Linked DNA regions of Rattus norvegicus. The protein of the gene in region 2 interacts with the protein of the main gene of each other region in a pairwise test. Links are inferred from orthologs where the notes say so. Each region holds a gene or a part of one and is shown on either strand. Other genes may lie near its edges.

What was found.
Region 1: the proteins of Habp4 (region 2) and C1qbp interact in a two-hybrid assay, tested with the Homo sapiens proteins (2 studies listed by BioGRID and IntAct). The link is inferred for Rattus norvegicus from reciprocal best matches to the Homo sapiens genes HABP4 and C1QBP.
Region 3: the proteins of Habp4 (region 2) and Rack1 interact in a two-hybrid assay, tested with the Homo sapiens proteins (2 studies listed by BioGRID). The link is inferred for Rattus norvegicus from reciprocal best matches to the Homo sapiens genes HABP4 and RACK1.
Region 4: the proteins of Habp4 (region 2) and Chd3 interact in a two-hybrid assay, tested with the Homo sapiens proteins (3 studies listed by BioGRID and IntAct). The link is inferred for Rattus norvegicus from reciprocal best matches to the Homo sapiens genes HABP4 and CHD3.

What each region holds. Positions count from the first base shown.
Region 1 is NC_086028.1:56,200,344-56,204,498, forward strand, and holds the start of C1qbp (complement component 1 Q subcomponent-binding protein, mitochondrial precursor), read right to left. Parts: upstream 2,843-4,155; 5' UTR 2,842-2,842; coding exon 2,616-2,841; intron 2,189-2,615; coding exon 2,038-2,188; intron 356-2,037; coding exon 262-355; intron 1-261.
Region 2 is NC_086035.1:960,454-964,674, forward strand, and holds the start of Habp4 (intracellular hyaluronan-binding protein 4), read right to left. Parts: upstream 2,848-4,221; 5' UTR 2,766-2,847; coding exon 2,420-2,765; intron 1-2,419. UniProt on the Homo sapiens protein: Ribosome-binding protein that promotes ribosome hibernation, a process during which ribosomes are stabilized in an inactive state and preserved from proteasomal degradation.
Region 3 is NC_086028.1:33,668,992-33,673,351, forward strand, and holds the start of Rack1 (small ribosomal subunit protein RACK1), read left to right. Parts: upstream 1-1,558; 5' UTR 1,559-1,691; coding exon 1,692-1,800; intron 1,801-2,080; exon of another isoform or gene 2,081-2,148; intron 2,149-2,822; coding exon 2,823-2,994; intron 2,995-3,236; exon of another isoform or gene 3,237-3,316; intron 3,317-3,471; coding exon 3,472-3,619; intron 3,620-4,126; exon of another isoform or gene 4,127-4,194; intron 4,195-4,360. UniProt on the Homo sapiens protein: Scaffolding protein involved in the recruitment, assembly and/or regulation of a variety of signaling molecules. Interacts with a wide variety of proteins and plays a role in many cellular processes.
Region 4 is NC_086028.1:54,564,795-54,568,354, reverse strand, and holds part of Chd3 (chromodomain-helicase-DNA-binding protein 3), read left to right. Parts: intron 1-75; coding exon 76-211; intron 212-319; coding exon 320-421; intron 422-611; coding exon of another isoform or gene 612-614; coding exon 615-743; intron 744-1,322; coding exon 1,323-1,431; intron 1,432-2,031; coding exon 2,032-2,164; intron 2,165-2,411; coding exon 2,412-2,607; coding exon of another isoform or gene 2,608-2,653; intron 2,654-3,560.

The DNA.
Region 1 (4,155 bases), on a different chromosome or scaffold from region 2:
ACTAAGTATCCCCACTCCCCAACACTGGCAGGGGTGAGGGCACAGGCCCGTGATAAACCCTAAGCCCTTAGGGGACAACACTCTACAAACATGGTCCATCCACAACTCCAGCTAAAACTCACTCGGAATGACTGCATTACAGGTCTCAGGAGGCTCACCCTTCACCTCACCCTAGCAGGGAGGATTTTAAAAAGAGTGAAAGTGAAACAGTTCTTGCTTTTGGGGACAGAAATCTTGGCTGTCTGCCATGTCACTGCTTACCTCCTGCTCTTCGGCCTTCTGCCCCTGTGAGGGCTCCTCTTCACCATCAAAGGTTGGAGGGATGCTATTGTTAATGTTGAAAGTGACAGTGATCCTAGAAAGGCAGGTAGAGATACACCAAGGTACACATTAACCTAGTGGTAACAGGAGAGCAAGGCCCACTGAAACAATGTCTCCATCCTAGCCACACAGGGAAGTGAAGAGAATTTCATCTGAAGTGTACCTACAAGTTAAATGACTACAGCTGTGGATGAAGCTGCCAGGTTGGTGTCCTGGGGTCTTCCCATGGAAGCTAATGGAGGTGGACAGCCATCTGCCCCGGAAAGCCTCACAGCCACTGCAGAGCAGATTCACTTTGCACAACCACAAACTAGGAACTGAAACACCTAGTGGCTTCTTTCCCTTCTGGGGGGATTCTGGAGCTCAAATAAGTACCCTGCCCATGCTTGGCGGAAGTTCACAGCTGCACCCTGGCCCTTGTGTGACTGTAAGAATTCTTATGTGATGGACAGCACCTGTTCTAAAGTCAGAGACAGTTCCTTTGTCTCAACACCTGGAAAAGAAGTTCCGCTTACACAGATTCAGAGGGCCAACCAACCCAAGAAGAGTGTACTGGGGGCTGCTCCCTGGAGTCCAACTGGGCAATGCCTTGCTGCCACTTTGCCCCCGAAAAAAGAATGGCAAGGTGAACCAAAGGGCATGTACAACCTGCGATAGCCCAGACTAAACCTACTTCTTCCTTCCCTCCCTCCTTCCCTCTCTTATTTTGGTTTTTCAAGACAGGACTTATTTGTGTAGCCTTGGCTGTCTTAGTACTTGCTGGTGGACCAGGCTGGCTTTGAACTTACAGAAATCTACCTGTCTATGCCTCCCAGGGTGATAGAATTAAAGGCGGTGAGCCCCACCGACACTCAGCCTGGCCTTGAACTTTCTAATCTACACACACACACTTACTGCTAAGCTTATAAACCCCCGCACCCCCAATAAAACTTTCTTGTACACTGTGCTCCTGAAGCACTGGGGATGGATCCTGGAGCCTCACACAAGCTAGAGAAGCACTTAAGAGTCCAAGTAGACTTAGCCAAGGAAGACTGTGGGTGAATGGGTAACACGAAACAGCACAGACAAGGGTTTAACGGTTTTAGGGGTGCCAGGTGTGGTGGCGCATGTCTGCAACCTCAGCACACAGGTGTCTGAAGCAGCAGGACCCAGAGTCTGAGCCCAGTCTATGCTACACAGCAGCCACACAGAGACCTTGTCTCAAACCGAATCCCTTGAGGAGAGGAAGAGCTAAGTTTGGCTAAGAACCTTCTCCCTTTGTCTGATGGCCTTTCTACATGGTAACTTCTTCCTGTGACTTAACAGTTACACACGTGCACTTTCAACTATTATAAACACAAGCCAGACGGGAGTTCTAAACAAATGATTTACCAGTACTATTAAACAACAAAACAACAACCCAATGCTTAATCCAGACTGGCACAGCACCCCTCATTAATAACCCAATAACTGCGTTTGCCCCTCCCACAGGCTTCCCTCTACATACTCTGGAGCTGCTTCAGGTCTCCTTAATACAAGCCATAGAAGCTTGTATTCATTCAGTGAATGCACTCCCTGGAACCTAAGAACTTTCCCAAGTTTAATGCTTTCTTAAAGCCATTTTATCAAAGCATTGGGCCTAAGCTCAGGCTCTTCTGGGGATGGTCAGAACAGGATGCTGTAACCAGGAACTTCTGACTTGAGAATCCAGTATACAACCCCTGGGCCAGTACTTACTTTTCTCCGGCAACTTTGCGCAATAATTTAGCCTCCGTGCCGTTCACTTCCAGCTCCCAATCTCCAGACATTTTGGGAAGGGACTTATGCTTCTGGATCTTCTTTTCTTCCTTAATTTCATCAGTCAAAAATTCAACAAAGGCCTTGTCTCCTAAAAGAAAGGCCAAAATGATCAACAGTGAGAAAAGGTAGTTGCTCTAACCGATTGACTCGGACTGCGTGTAATCTATTCTTAAGGCTGTTCTAAGACTGTAGCGTAAATCACGCCTCAAAACGTCCGTTCCTCACTCTATAAAAACACCAGGATATATTTACTGAGCTGAACTGATATTACTTATCATGAGATGGTTATTTCTCATCATGAACTCATTACTATTACTTCCCGTATAAAACAAAAGAATTTCCAACTATCCTCTTCCATGTCCAAAAAGACGTGGACCCAACAACCACACTTTGAAACCACGACCCTACCGACTTTGCTAAGCCACATTTTCAAGACGCGAGAAGGGGAACCTGCGATCATGAGGGCCAGTTCCGAGCTGGATCGCCGCATTCCGACTAGGGTGCGTGAACCTTACCTTCCGTGTGCAGAGCGCCGCAGCCGCACGCGCAGGGAACCGGGGGCTGCAGGAGGCCAGAGCGCCGAGCGGAGCCGGCTCGTACGCTGAGCAAACCGAAGGGCCGGAGGCATGGCCGGGGCGCGGGCTGCAGTAAATGCCGAAGCGGCGGGGCCGGGATGGAGGCTCGGAGGCCCGTGGCGGCGGCACCCAGGGCGCGGGGCACGCAGCGCAGCAGAGGGAGCATCGCGGGGTGGACACGTGCAAAGGGAAGGACGACCGGGCCAAGACACCGTGTGACCTCGCGAGCCGCCGGAAGCCCCGCCCTCGCCCGGGAAGCGCTATCCACGTCGGAGGACTGCAGTACCCGGGCCGGACCGCACCGCGCCCTCTGCTGGGAGCCGCCAGCGCAGCCCGAGAGGCCTTGGCTCAGCTGTATTCTACCCTGGCCATCAAATCTCCCTTGCTGCCCGTTCTCCCCAATTCACCTGCTTTTCTCAACCCAAGCCACACTTTGTTACTTCGTGGAATACGCTCAGGTCTCATCCCAACAAAGATCACTTAGCGGTCTTCTGAAACCGCCTAGTTCTGAAAAGCTCAGACTGACCTGCATGCAGCTGCTGTGGAGTGGGCATCCAGGCCTCACATTAGACCCAGAATCCCAAGAACAGGATGAAGGATTTATGCTGGAAACCTCTGCACCCCCTAACAATTCGTGTACCGGTTTTAATGGACCATCGTTTTTTTTTGGGGGGGGGGGAGCAGGAATAGATGGCTTTCATCATCACATTTAGGTTGAGAATCAGGGATAACAGGCTGGAGACAGGGCTCAGTGGTTAAGAGCACTGTTGCTCTTACAGAGGCCTGGAGTTCTATTGCCAGCATCCACACGCCTTCTCACAACCATCTACCTCCAGTTCCAGGGCAGCAGACACCCTCTTTTGACTTTTACCAACACCATGAACGAACGTAGTGCAGACATGCAGGCAAAACTCTCAAGGACATTAGAAACACACACACACAAAACAAAACCAACAAAATCCAAAACCCAACCCAAGAAACAAAAACAAAATTTAACCAACCGAATTTCACACACACACACACACACACACACACACACACACACACACACACACACACACACCCCAAAAACCCCGCTCATGCTCTCTGGTCCTAGCATCTGGGAGGTAGAGGCAAACAGCCGAGTTTAAGGTCAGCCTGGTTACACAGCATGTTCCAGAACAGCCAGGGTTACATAAAAGACCTCTCAAAACACCAAAAGCAAATGTTGGATACCGAGTCTTACTGAATGAATGGCAATGAAACTACTGTTTAATATTCTAAACAGCATTCTTTAAATAAGGGAAAGGAGGCCCAAAATAAGAGGCCACACAGATCGTATACAAGATTCAGGTTTTTATGGACTTAATAGTCAAAAGTAATTTTTGAGCATTATATACAAGAACTGTTTCTTATGTTTGAGATCAGAGAGATTAGAGTGCAAGTCCAAATCCACTTCTTATTTTTCTACACTACAGCAATCGATATAAAATTGTTTCCT
Region 2 (4,221 bases):
AAAGGAATGAAGGTCTAAGTATAGTAGCTTACAATACCAAAACAGCACTGTGCCTGTGTGTATGCATGTGTGCATGCACGTATGCATGCGCAATGTGCTTGTGAGTCCAGAAGACAGAGAGAAACCCTGAGTGTTCATTCACCTCTGAACAGCCCCTCTTACTTTCTGAGTCCAGGTTTCTCTCTGGGAATCTGGGCTCATGGATTCAAGCAGGGATGGAGCTCATATCCTCATCATGTTTTCGAGACAAACATTTTCTGATTGATCTATCTCCCTGGTCCCACGCTGTATATAAATGCATAGTGTCAATCATAAGAAAAATAAGGGGCCCTTCCACTAACTTAACTTCATACATTTCTGAGACTGCTTGAAATTTCTGTAACAAGAGCTGGGGGTTCAAGCTCATAGTAGATCACTTACACAATACGAATGGAACCCTGGGCTCATCATAACAAGAACTTTTTTCGGAGCTGAGGACTGAACCCAGGGCCTTGCATTTGCTAGGCAAGCCCTCTACCACTGAGCTAAATCCCCAACCCTAAGAATATTTTTAATTTTAAAAGAGACCTAAAGGGCTGGAGAGATGGCTCAGAGGTTAAGAGCACTGACTGTTCTTCCAGAGGTCCTGAGTTCAATTCCCAGCAACCATGTGGTGGCTCACAACCATCTGTAATGGGATCTGATGCCCTCTTCTGGTGTGTCTGAAGACAGTGACAGTGTACTCATATACATTAAATAAATAAATAAATAAATCTTAAAAAAAAAGACTAAAGAAAAACTTCAGCCAGTGTGTGTTGCACACCTTTAATCCCGGCACTCAGGAATCTCAGCACTTGGGAGACAGATCCAAGCATATCTCTGAGTTAGAGGATAGACTGGTCTACAAAGAGAGTCCCAGAACAGCACAGAGAAAGCCTGTCTCAAAAAACCAAAACAAACAAAAACAACAATACTTTAACAGTAGTAACTGGTACTCTTCCAAAAGCTAGTATATTTTCACTTGATAAAAAAAGTAAATAGTAAAACATTTGGTCTTACTCAATTCCTTCCCTCCTATTTTTTCTAAATACATTTAGGAGAAACTCAATATAAAATGTACAGTATGGTGCATTTCCATCTTAAAAGGAGTCCTAAATTCACTGAGGTATCCATCTTCATTAATGATTTTCTGAATCTCAACCAATGTCTCAAATGAACTTTACAGATAAAGGTAAACATTATCTATCTGTACCAGCTAAAGCCAGAAGTGGAAAGGGCAGTTTTTCTCAAGTTAGGACAAGGCAATAATGCCCACATGAACACATCCCTACCTGGTGGTCAAACTACACTCTAATCACAACATCCCTTCTTGCCAACCTTAAGACTATAAACTTAATACGGGAAAACGGGGAGTTCATTTGGCAAAAGCTTGGCTGCAAAAGCCTTGACGCAGCTCAGGTGACAGCCACGAAGTCTGAAGCAGCCTCCCACGCAGACAGTACACCCAGCAGAGGGCTGACCCTTCTACTTAAGCAGAAAGGGTAACTTTGAGCATTCGGCTTGCAAAGGTTAAAACTGCTTCTAGCAAAAACAGTATTCAATCCATCACAAATTACGCGTCCCACATACACTATTTGTTCCACCTGCAATCGATGTCTGCTAACGCCTGGAGGCTACAGTATGAAGATTGAGAAAAGGACTAAGGCGCAGAGGAGCCGGAACCCCAAGCCCACCCCACTCACCCTGGGCTCAAGTCTGCCTTCCCGGAGCTTCCACACCTGCGGGTGCCCAGGCCTCCCTGAATTTAAAGGCCCAGAGTCTGGGATCCCTGAAGGTTTTAGCAGTGCATCGCCTACAGAGCTGAGCCCCGCAGAGGCCGGCAGGATGAAGGATGCAGCTAGCTGCAGATGTGGGGATCCCAGCTGCGCAACCCTCAGGCTGTCAGTCCTGGTCCCTACACGGAACTAGGAATGTCAGGAGGGTGACCCCAGAAGAGTCACACCATGTCTTTTTGCCCATCAAGAACCTCCAGCTCGGCCCACCGGGAACGGGTGGATAGGAACGACCCCACCCCCAACCCTCCAGGGAGTGTGATTCCCACCCCCTCCTCGTGGATAGAGGGTGACCAAAGGCCCTGTCCACCAAGATTCAGTGCTCTGCTCACTGTACCCGTCTGGGATGAGCCCAGCGAGAGTGAAACCCTGGCCCCTCCACTGAGAAAGGGTCACTGGGGAAAGTGACCACCCAGGAGGATGGCCCTAAAGGGTCATGACCCCTCAAAAGTGGCTCCCGAGAGTGATCCCTGGAAACGTGACCCCGAGAGAATTATTATCTTGAAGGGTGGCCCCGGTCCCTGCGCCCATCAGGACACCCAGCTCTGATTCGCCCACGCGGGACCGAGCTAGCGGCTGGAGGGGTGACCTCGGTGCCCGCGGCGTACCTGGCGGCTGAGGGCCCCCGGGGCTGTCTGGCTGCTGTGCGCTGGACACCGCGAGGCTCTTGCGCTCCTTCTGCGACTCCCTGCGGCCGGCCGCGCCGGGCCTGTGTCCTGAGGCCACGGCAGGGCTCCTGCCGCCACGGTGCCCAGCCCCGCTGGCCGCCGCCGCCTCATCGCGACGCTTGCGCTGCAGCTGCTGCTGGCGCCGGTGCTCGGCCTCCCGCAGGATGTCGAACGGGTCCGACTCGTCGTCCAGCAGCTGATGGAAGCGGTTGGCCACGACGCAGCCGAACGTCTCCTGCATCGCGGCGCCCGCGGCGGCTACCGGGCTCCCCAGGGCCCCCTTCATGACGCCACCGCTGCGGGCGCCGCGGGCAGCCCAGGCCAGTGAGGTTCAGCGAAGCCGCGGGCGAGGACCCATGCTGCTGCCGCCGCCGCCGCACTCCCGGCCCCGCGGTCGGCTCCTCCCCGCCTGCGCGCCCCAGCCAATCAGCGCTGATAGACACGCCCTTCGGCCCCGGCGCGCACGGAGACCCAATGGGCGGCCGGTGTCTGTGACGTCACGCCCCACTTTATCCCTCCCACTCCAGGCCTGTGGGCGTGGTGGTCCGAGGCTGGGGCGGAGCTATCACGAGATACCCAGGGAAGCTGCCTGTGTTCTCTCGCCGGTGTGCGCCAGAGGGGAAGCCTAGTTGTGCACCGCCATACTTCACCTAAGTGACCTCGTCACGAGCCTTTCAGCGGCTTGCGTGGCCGGGAGAGAGCTGTAGACTGAGGGAAAGTGCCTAGAGGAGAGGCAGCGTTCTCAGCTGGGAGCTGACCCAGTCAAGAAGCTTGGAGAGACTTGAGCTTCAAGAGGTGTGACAGGGACAGGAGACCAAAACAGCCCATTCAAGCGCAAAGAAATAACCCCAGACCCACTGTGATGTTGTGATGAGTGCGGGAGTGGATGGGGTGAGGTTTAGATAGTGGTTGTTTTCTTTTGAGACATTCAGTTAAGGCCTGGCTTCTGGGAAATCAAACTCCAAAGTAGATGTCAGGTTTGCTGGCGAGTGCCTTTGCCCTCTGAGCCATCACTCTCCTGAAAATTAATTTTGTAAGTTAGCATTAAAAGTAATGGTTTTTATGTTATATAGGTGTGTTCATATGTATGTATATATACATGTCTATGTCATTGCACTTCGTTCTAAACTGTCCTCCTCCCTCATTGCCCTCCATAATGCCACCCCTGCCTGCTGGTTTCCTTCCTCTCTCTCAAGTAGTTTTCACTTCACAGCACATGTGAAAGGAATAATTAAATACAGGTGTTAAAAGGTCTGAGTTTTACTGTTTTCCCACTTGCCTGTGCAAAGAAATCAAAAGTGATTTTTGTCTCAAATTGTGATTTCCTGGGCTTGCATTCAGGGAGATCATAGGTTCTCAGTAAATTGTCAGATAGCTAGATATTTTAAGATCTTTCTTTGAATTAAAGATTAGTGCCTGTATATTTTAACCAAAATTGGAAACAGGTATTTAGATGAAATTTTGTATTATTCTCAGAGGTGCTATTCACAATAGCCAGGAGGAAGAAACAACCCAAATGCTCACTAACTGGGTGATGGATAAATAAAATGTGGTACAGCAGCAGCTAGGTTTGGAGTGGGGCAGAAAAGAACAAGTGTTAGCACACACTACAGCACAGATGAACCTTGGAACATTGTGTGAGAAAGGGTTAGGTGATATAAGGGATGGGTAAATCCACAGGTTTTAATTACCTTTGCATTGCTGCACCCACAATATCAGACAGAAACAAGGCAAAGATTTAT
Region 3 (4,360 bases), on a different chromosome or scaffold from region 2:
AATCCCAGTTACCTGGCAGGCTGAGGAAGCGGGGGAAATCATAAATTTAAGGCCAATTTGAGCTATGCAGATCCTGTATCAAAATAAGGTTGAATGTGGTGATGAATTCCACTTAACTGTTTTTTTTTCTTATGATTTATTTTTATGTTATGTGCACTGGTGTTTTGCTTACATGTGCGTCTGTATGAGGTGGTTGGAGCCTCTGGAGTTGTTGTGACAGTTGTGAGCTGCCATGTGGATGTTGGTGAACTAACCCAAGTCCTCTTAGAAATGCAGCTAATGCTCTTAACTGCTGAAGCATCTCTTCAGCCCGACAAATGCCTTTAATCCCTGCATTCCCAGCACTCACAGGCAGGTGATCTCTGAGTTCCAGACCAGCTAAGTCTTTTACATAGTGAGACTGTCTCAAAAACGAACAAACAAAAACTAAACAAGATTGAGAGATGGGGGCGGGGCACGAGGGGGTAGATGTAACTCCATAAGGCATTTTCCTCACATGTGGGAGTTCAACCCATAGCACTAAAATAATTAAATGTATCATTTAGTTCATATAGACATTAGTGGTTGGTTACCTTCCTGACCTGTGCTCCTTTTTAAAAAATATTTAAGCTGAGCAAGAGGAGCACGCATGGCAGAAAAGAAAATTCCTGACTTCAACCTGTGCACTGTGACGATCACAAGCGCACTCACACACAAATAATTTTAAGTTTTTTTTTCCTTTTTCTTTTTTTTTTTTTTAGGAGCTGGGGACCGAACCCAGGGCCTTGTGCTTGCTAGGCAAGCGCTCTACCACTGAGCTAAATCCCCAACCCCCAATTTTAAAACGTAAAGTTAAAATTTTTTGAGAGATCTGTGACATTTGGAGACACTAAATAATTCAAACAAGTGTTGAGGGGAGGGTCATCAGGTTGCTAGATTATCAGTGTTCCTCTTCTTCCCTGTCCAGGTTCACTTCTTTCAGGGCTACACAAGACGGACTAGCAGGCTTTTCTGAGGAGTGATCAGAAGCACAGAAAGGGCTTCCAATCCCCATAAATCTTAACCCAGCACTTTCTCTATAGCCTCGCCCGGCAGCGGCCCGGTTCTTGGGAGACAGAAGACATCCTTGGCAACATAGCCAGTTTAAGACTAGCCTTCACTACATGAAACCTTGCCTTAAAACAAAAAAGGCCAAATTTCGTGGCATACTCCTTTAACTGCAACTTTAATTGTACTTCCGTAAGTCAAAGTTAAAGCCGCGGTCTCCAACCGAGAACTAAACACGAAGCGGAAAGGGCGGAGCTCCGTCAGTGCCACGTAGGGGCGGTGAGCCGCTGTAGTTCGGTAATGTGCCGTTTAGCCTCACTTCTGCTTCCACGGCATGTTTTAATCTTCCGAGAAGCCTTTCTAAAAACCTGGTGCACCTGGCTTCAGAATGCATTTGTACAGCGCTGCCTGTATGTTGCGTGGCAGAAGAAACGACGATACTGCGATCTACTTCTCCAGTTCCTCCCACTTCATAGTGCAGCCATCTTTGGGCAGCAGTGAATCATGGGAATCCCCGCCTTGCTCTCCGAGTATTTCCGGTTCCGGCGGAGGCCGCTCTTTCTTTTTCTCCGCAGGGTCGCGGTGGCAGCCGCTGCGGTGCTTGGCTCCCTAAGCTATCCGGTGCCATCCTTGTCGCTGCGGCGACACTCGCAACATCTGCAGCCATGACCGAGCAAATGACCCTTCGTGGGACCCTCAAGGGCCATAATGGATGGGTTACACAGATCGCCACCACTCCGCAGTTCCCGGACATGATCCTGTCGGCGTCTCGAGGTACGGGGCTGCATGCCGGGTGAAACACCCTGTGTCCTGGTGACTGCATGTCTCGTGGCTAAGCAAGTGGCGCTCGTGTTGGCTGGCTCGGTCCGTTCCCCGACCCAGGTGTGAGTTGGGGCGTGCAGACCCGAACATGGGCCCCAACCGGGGCGACCCTTTACATATGAACGGAAACCGGGACTTGTCACGCAAGTGCACAGCATGGCGATTTTAATGCATCTCTCGCTTGCTTTCTGGAGATGTGTTAACGAAGTAATTACGTGGCTACAAGCCAGGCGGAGCAATGATGACCCCAACATGCCATCTGAGTTGCTTTGCTGAAATCCAGAGGCTGTTTCTGAGCTGCCACCGCCTGGCCCTGAACTCTAGGTGCCTTGTTCCCCAGAATTCCGGGCTTGCCCGTCCTGCCCTAGATTTTCTTTCCTTGTAACTAATGCTATTTTTTCTTTCATGATATGTCTCCATGTATTTTTCCCTCTCAGGTCCTCCCTACTTGCCCAAAATTATGTTCGTCCTCTCTCTCCTACCTAATTAATGCTAGGCTTATCGGGCTTTCTGTTGGTTTCTGTGTAAGTCGAAATGGTCGTGGCTAGGACTGTGTATGATGCTGCCGTAACTGCTGCCTTTCTGTTAACTCTCCGAGGCGGGAAAGTGTCTCTGCTCATCCTACACCCAAGTGACAGTGCTTTTGCTATTGAGTTAGCCGCATCGATGGATAAGGCTAGAGTTTGAACACCATAGACACATATAGTGTGCGCGCGCGTACACACACACACGTAGGGAGCCACATTAAATAAGTTTTTTTATGTTGAACTTAAATCTCAACTCCAGGAAGTGTGTTGCCCATCATCTCAGATTACAGCTTAGATCTACGTCTCTGTGGAATAGTGAGCCTCTTTTACTTCAAATTTGCCGTTTTTCTGCCATTTACCACACCAGTGACCTTAGGACTGTAACTTGTGCGTGGTAAGTAGTAGGTTTTGGGGGTCCTCATGAGATTTCTTTACCAACCTTTTTAGACAAGACCATCATCATGTGGAAGCTGACCAGGGATGAGACCAACTACGGCATACCACAACGTGCTCTTCGAGGTCACTCCCACTTTGTTAGCGATGTTGTCATCTCCTCTGATGGCCAGTTTGCCCTCTCAGGCTCCTGGGATGGAACCCTACGCCTCTGGGATCTCACAACGCAAGTAGCTGCTTTGGGGCCTTGGGGGAAGGTGGGCAAAAGTGAGGTAGATTCCCCAGGGTGTGGTCTTCCCTTGGTAATCAGTCCTTTTGTTTGAGGGAAGGCAACATTTTGGGGTGTTAGGCTTCCCTTGGAGCTGCTTTTTTTTTTTTTAACTGGGTACCATGGGCTATTAAGTTGTCTCGGGTTGTAAGTTGTCTTAGATGGACATTGGCAGATGGACATTGGCAGATGTAATAGAGGATCCTAGTGATGACAAGGAGACATTGTCAACCAATCCCCACAAGGGAATGAGGACATGTCCTGCAATTCTGAATGGGTTCTCTGGTACATATCAGACATGGGCTAATAGTAGGTTCTGAACCACTTGTGGACTGTGGAGTATAATAGAGCCTACAGGGTAAGGGTGGGGCTAGGAAAAGGATCTAACTGGATGGGTGAAACCTGTCTAGAAAGTGACCAGGTTCTCCCTCTTAGGGGCACTACCACGAGACGATTTGTCGGCCACACCAAGGATGTGCTGAGCGTGGCTTTCTCCTCTGACAACCGGCAGATTGTCTCTGGGTCCCGAGACAAGACCATTAAGTTATGGAATACTCTGGGTGTCTGCAAGTACACTGTCCAGGTAAAGGGGTAAGGGTGGTAGGGACGGCGTCCAGGGCTGTCTCCCACCCCCTGGGGGCTGTTTTTAGGGTGCGTTCATCACTGTGTGGTCCTGGTGGCCTCAGGTGATCTGATTCCTAGGTGTGTACTACTACCACCTGGCACTTTCTCTTGTGTATTGTTAGCCCTGTCTGGGATTTTGTTTTTAAACTTTGTGTGCCTGCTACCTTGTGACTGGACTGGCATGGGGCTCAGAGGAGTTGGAGGGATTGTTTGTTTGTGGGTTTCTGTGTAGGTAGACCTGCATGAGATCATGTGCTTCCAGACTGCTGGGGTTAAAAGGCCTTCTTTTCCCCCTTTAATCCCATATTAGGTTGAGCTGTGGAAACCCAAACCACGGCATCAGTTGGGCAGGGTCTTGGCACATGAGCAGATACCCAGATGTCTCTCATAACTGCCCTAAGGTTTAAATGATCTTAAGTCTCTCACCTATCTCCTAGAGATGTGTTTGAGGGGTTACAAGCCAGGCCCAACAGTGATGACCACAACATGCCATCTGAGTTGCTTTGCTGAAATCCAGAGGCTGTTTCTGAGCTGTGCCTGGTCCTGTGCTCCATGAGTAATGAGTGGGTGAGCTCTGGGGTCACCTTAGGACTCAAATGTCAGCAGGCTTGACAGGTGGCTTTGCCCCTGGTCTGTTGGCCTAAAGATTGTGCTTCTGAGAAGGGAGTGCAGGAGTGCCGTTGCCCCTCTTAGGGAAGTG
Region 4 (3,560 bases), on a different chromosome or scaffold from region 2:
GGAAGGTTTGGAGGGATCTTGGCAACAAAGTGCCTAGGAACTCTCTAGCTCACTTGACTCTCTGTCCTCCACTAGATTGATTCTCCCAGCCCTGCCCCATCACTTGGAGAACGGCTAGAACATAGGAAGATTCTGTTAGAGGATGATGCACCAGGGGTACCTGGAGAGATAGAGCCTGAACCTGGGTACCGAGGAGACAGGGAAAAGTCTGGTGGGTGTATTGTCCTACCAGTGATGGGGATTTGGGTTTTGGAGTTGACTCTTCGGGACCTGGGGTGAAAGTAACAGCTGTCTTCACATCTTCTGACTCTTCCCACAGCCTCAGAGCCAACGCCAGGAGAAAGGGGGGAGGAGAAGCCATTGGATGGACAGGAACACAGGGAGAGGACAGAGGGGGAGACAGGGGATTTGGGCAAGAGAGGTAATGGGCAGAAGGACTGGACACCCAAGTCCTGGTATCTGGGTATCTGGGGAGGCTTGGAATCTGGGGACAGATGCCTGGGTCTTGGGTGGGTAGCTGTTGGGAGAGCCGGTACGGTTGATGCACTAAATAGTCTTGGGACTTAGAAGGAGGCAGTCCTGAGGTGTGAGCTTTGCACTCTTTGGCCTAGCAGAAGATGTAAAAGCAGATCGGGAGCTTCGACTTGGGCCTCCTCGGGATGAGCCACGGCCCAATGGGCGCCGTGAGGAGAAGGTGGAGAAGCCAAGATTCATGTTCAACATTGCTGATGGTGGTTTCACAGGTGTGGGAGGTTGTCTGTTACCTGCTCCTCACTGTGTCACTGTGTCTGAGGCTGCCTGCTCCATTTAATTCCACACACTTTCAATGAACTGGTGCATGCTGACAGTGAGCCTCGACAGTCCTAAGTTACTACCAAACTCCCATTGGTCTCTAACACAGTTCTCTTGCCTTAATCTTAACGTGAGCCTGTTCATAATTAACTCTACTCCTTACTTCCTAACTTAATGTTTCTCGCCTTTTTGTAATTTAATTTTTTCAGATTTATTTTATGTGTTATGAGTGTTTGCCTGCATGCATGTGTATGCACCATATGTGTACAGTACCTTTAGAGGTCAGAAGATGGTACTGTATATCCCCTGTAAGTGGAGTGACAGATGGTTGTGAGCTACCTGTTGGAGCTGTGACCTGAAGTCTGGTCCTTCGCATGAGTGACAAGTGCTTCTAAGCACTGAGCTACCCTCCAGCCCCTCGTACAGCTCTTAAGGAGCCTTTAATACTCTGTCCTTACTCAGATTTCCATGTGTACGTTCCCAGGGTGATGCAGACCACAAACCTGATGCATTCGTTCTGTTCTTTGCAGAGCTGCACACACTGTGGCAGAATGAGGAAAGAGCAGCTATTTCCTCGGGGAAACTCAATGAGATCTGGCACCGGAGACATGACTACTGGCTTCTAGCTGGCATTGTCCTGTATCCTTTGCATATGTGCAAGATCACAAAGGGTCTCTCAGCTAGGAGAGAAGGTGCCGTGGGGTTTCTGCTGCTTGATAAACACCATGGCTGAAAGAAACTTGGGGAGGAAAGGGTTTATTTCTTCTTACAATTTGTAGCACGTCTTCCAGGGAAGTTAGGGCAGGAACAGAGGCAGGAGGCTGGAGGCAGGAGCTGATGCGGAGGCCATGGAGGGGTGCTGCTTACTGGCTTGCTCCCTGTGGCTTGCTCAGCCTGCTTTCTTATAGAACCCAGGACCACCAGCCCAGGGAGGGCACCACCTGCAGTGGTCTAGGCCCTCCCCCATCAATCATTGATTAAGAAAATGCCCCATAGGTTTGTCTACAGCCCGACCTTATGGAGTAATTTTCTCCACTGATGTTCATCTTCCCAGATAATTCTAACTTCTGTCGGGTTGAGAAAAACTAGCCAGGGCAGAGGGGAACTACAGAGAAGAAGGGTCCACACTCAGGCGGGGGAAGCTTGTGCCACATTCTGGGGACATCTGGCCAATAAGAAATGTTCACAGTCACATCCATTCAGTTAAATTCCTTGATAGTTCCTTTGCTCTGTTGGCAGCCATGGCTATGCCCGGTGGCAAGACATCCAGAACGATGCTCAGTTTGCCATTATTAATGAACCATTTAAAACGGAAGCCAATAAGGGGAACTTCCTGGAGATGAAAAATAAATTCCTGGCCCGGAGGTTCAAGGTGAGGATGAGAAAGAAGAGAAGTGGGGTGAAGAAGGGCCTTGCTCAGCGTGGGCTGGAAGGAATGGTATCATCACGAGACCTGAGGTAACACTGTGGCTAAGACCCAGTGGACCTATGGATGGGAACTGTGGTCTGGCTCACACACTGTGCAGCTGGAGTTTCCAGGGCAACAGGGACAGAGTAGCTCTCTAGTGCTAGGTTAGTCCTTCTACTCACCTGCCTTTACCCCTATCCTGTTCCCTTAGCTCCTGGAGCAGGCGCTGGTGATCGAGGAGCAGCTGCGGCGGGCGGCCTACCTGAACCTGTCACAGGAGCCGGCGCACCCCGCCATGGCCCTCCACGCCCGCTTTGCCGAGGCCGAGTGCCTAGCCGAGAGCCACCAGCACCTCTCCAAGGAGTCGCTGGCAGGGAACAAGCCAGCCAACGCTGTCCTGCACAAGGGTAAGGGCCGCGGTGGCCCCGCGCGGGGGAGGGCCCACAACGCTGCGTAAGTCTTCACCCCGCACCCTTAAAAACTTTCCCACACCCTCTGCCCCCTTACCCCTCTACCCTCTGAACCACTGCCCTCTGACCTCTAACCCCACTTCTGACCCTTTTGGGGTTTAGCTTTACCCCTTGTCTAAGCCCATACCTGATATGGTTCACAGCAGTGACCAGTAGGGTACCAGTCACCTCATAAAGTGGGACCTGATCCCTGTGAGTGGGACCACAGGTTGCACCTGCCATGATCCTGATAGCCTTGGTGTGTGTGTGTGTCCTTAGCTCTGACCCACAGGTCACTTTCTTTGTATCTCCTTCACCCCATGAAGTGAAAACGACTGCCCATCTACCTCTGGGCAGACCCCATGAAGCTTGCTTTTGACCCCCAGCCTTTTCGCCCATATCCTCCTACCTTGATAACTATGGGTTAGGTCCCAGAGCCATCCTAACCCCCTAACAGAGCCTGGTGTAGCACCTGACTTCTGCCAACCTTAGGTCCTTCTACAGAATGCTGACTCTTTAACCCCCTCCCCATCATGTATTAAAACTGAGTCCCTAAATCATACTGCCCTATGCCTCCTATTTCCTCCCCATCATCCTGACCCCTAAGCCTCCCTTTTCTAGTACGGGATGTTCTGACAACCCCGACCCCATGTCTTTCAATGTCTTTCCCTTACCTCTTCCCCATACTCTGTCTTTGTCTTTACTCCATCTGTTCTGTGTGGTATCTGGTCTGTTGCTTTCCTCTGAACCACTCTTCTGTCTAATCTCTGCCATTTGGTCCTTGGCCTGTGGTCCTTTGATGTCTGTGTCCTCTCTTTCTGACTGTACTTGTCCATCTGACTGTCCCTTTTTCTGGCTCCATCTCTCTCTCTACCTTTCTCTTGCCCTTCTCTCTCTGTGGCCCGGGCCCC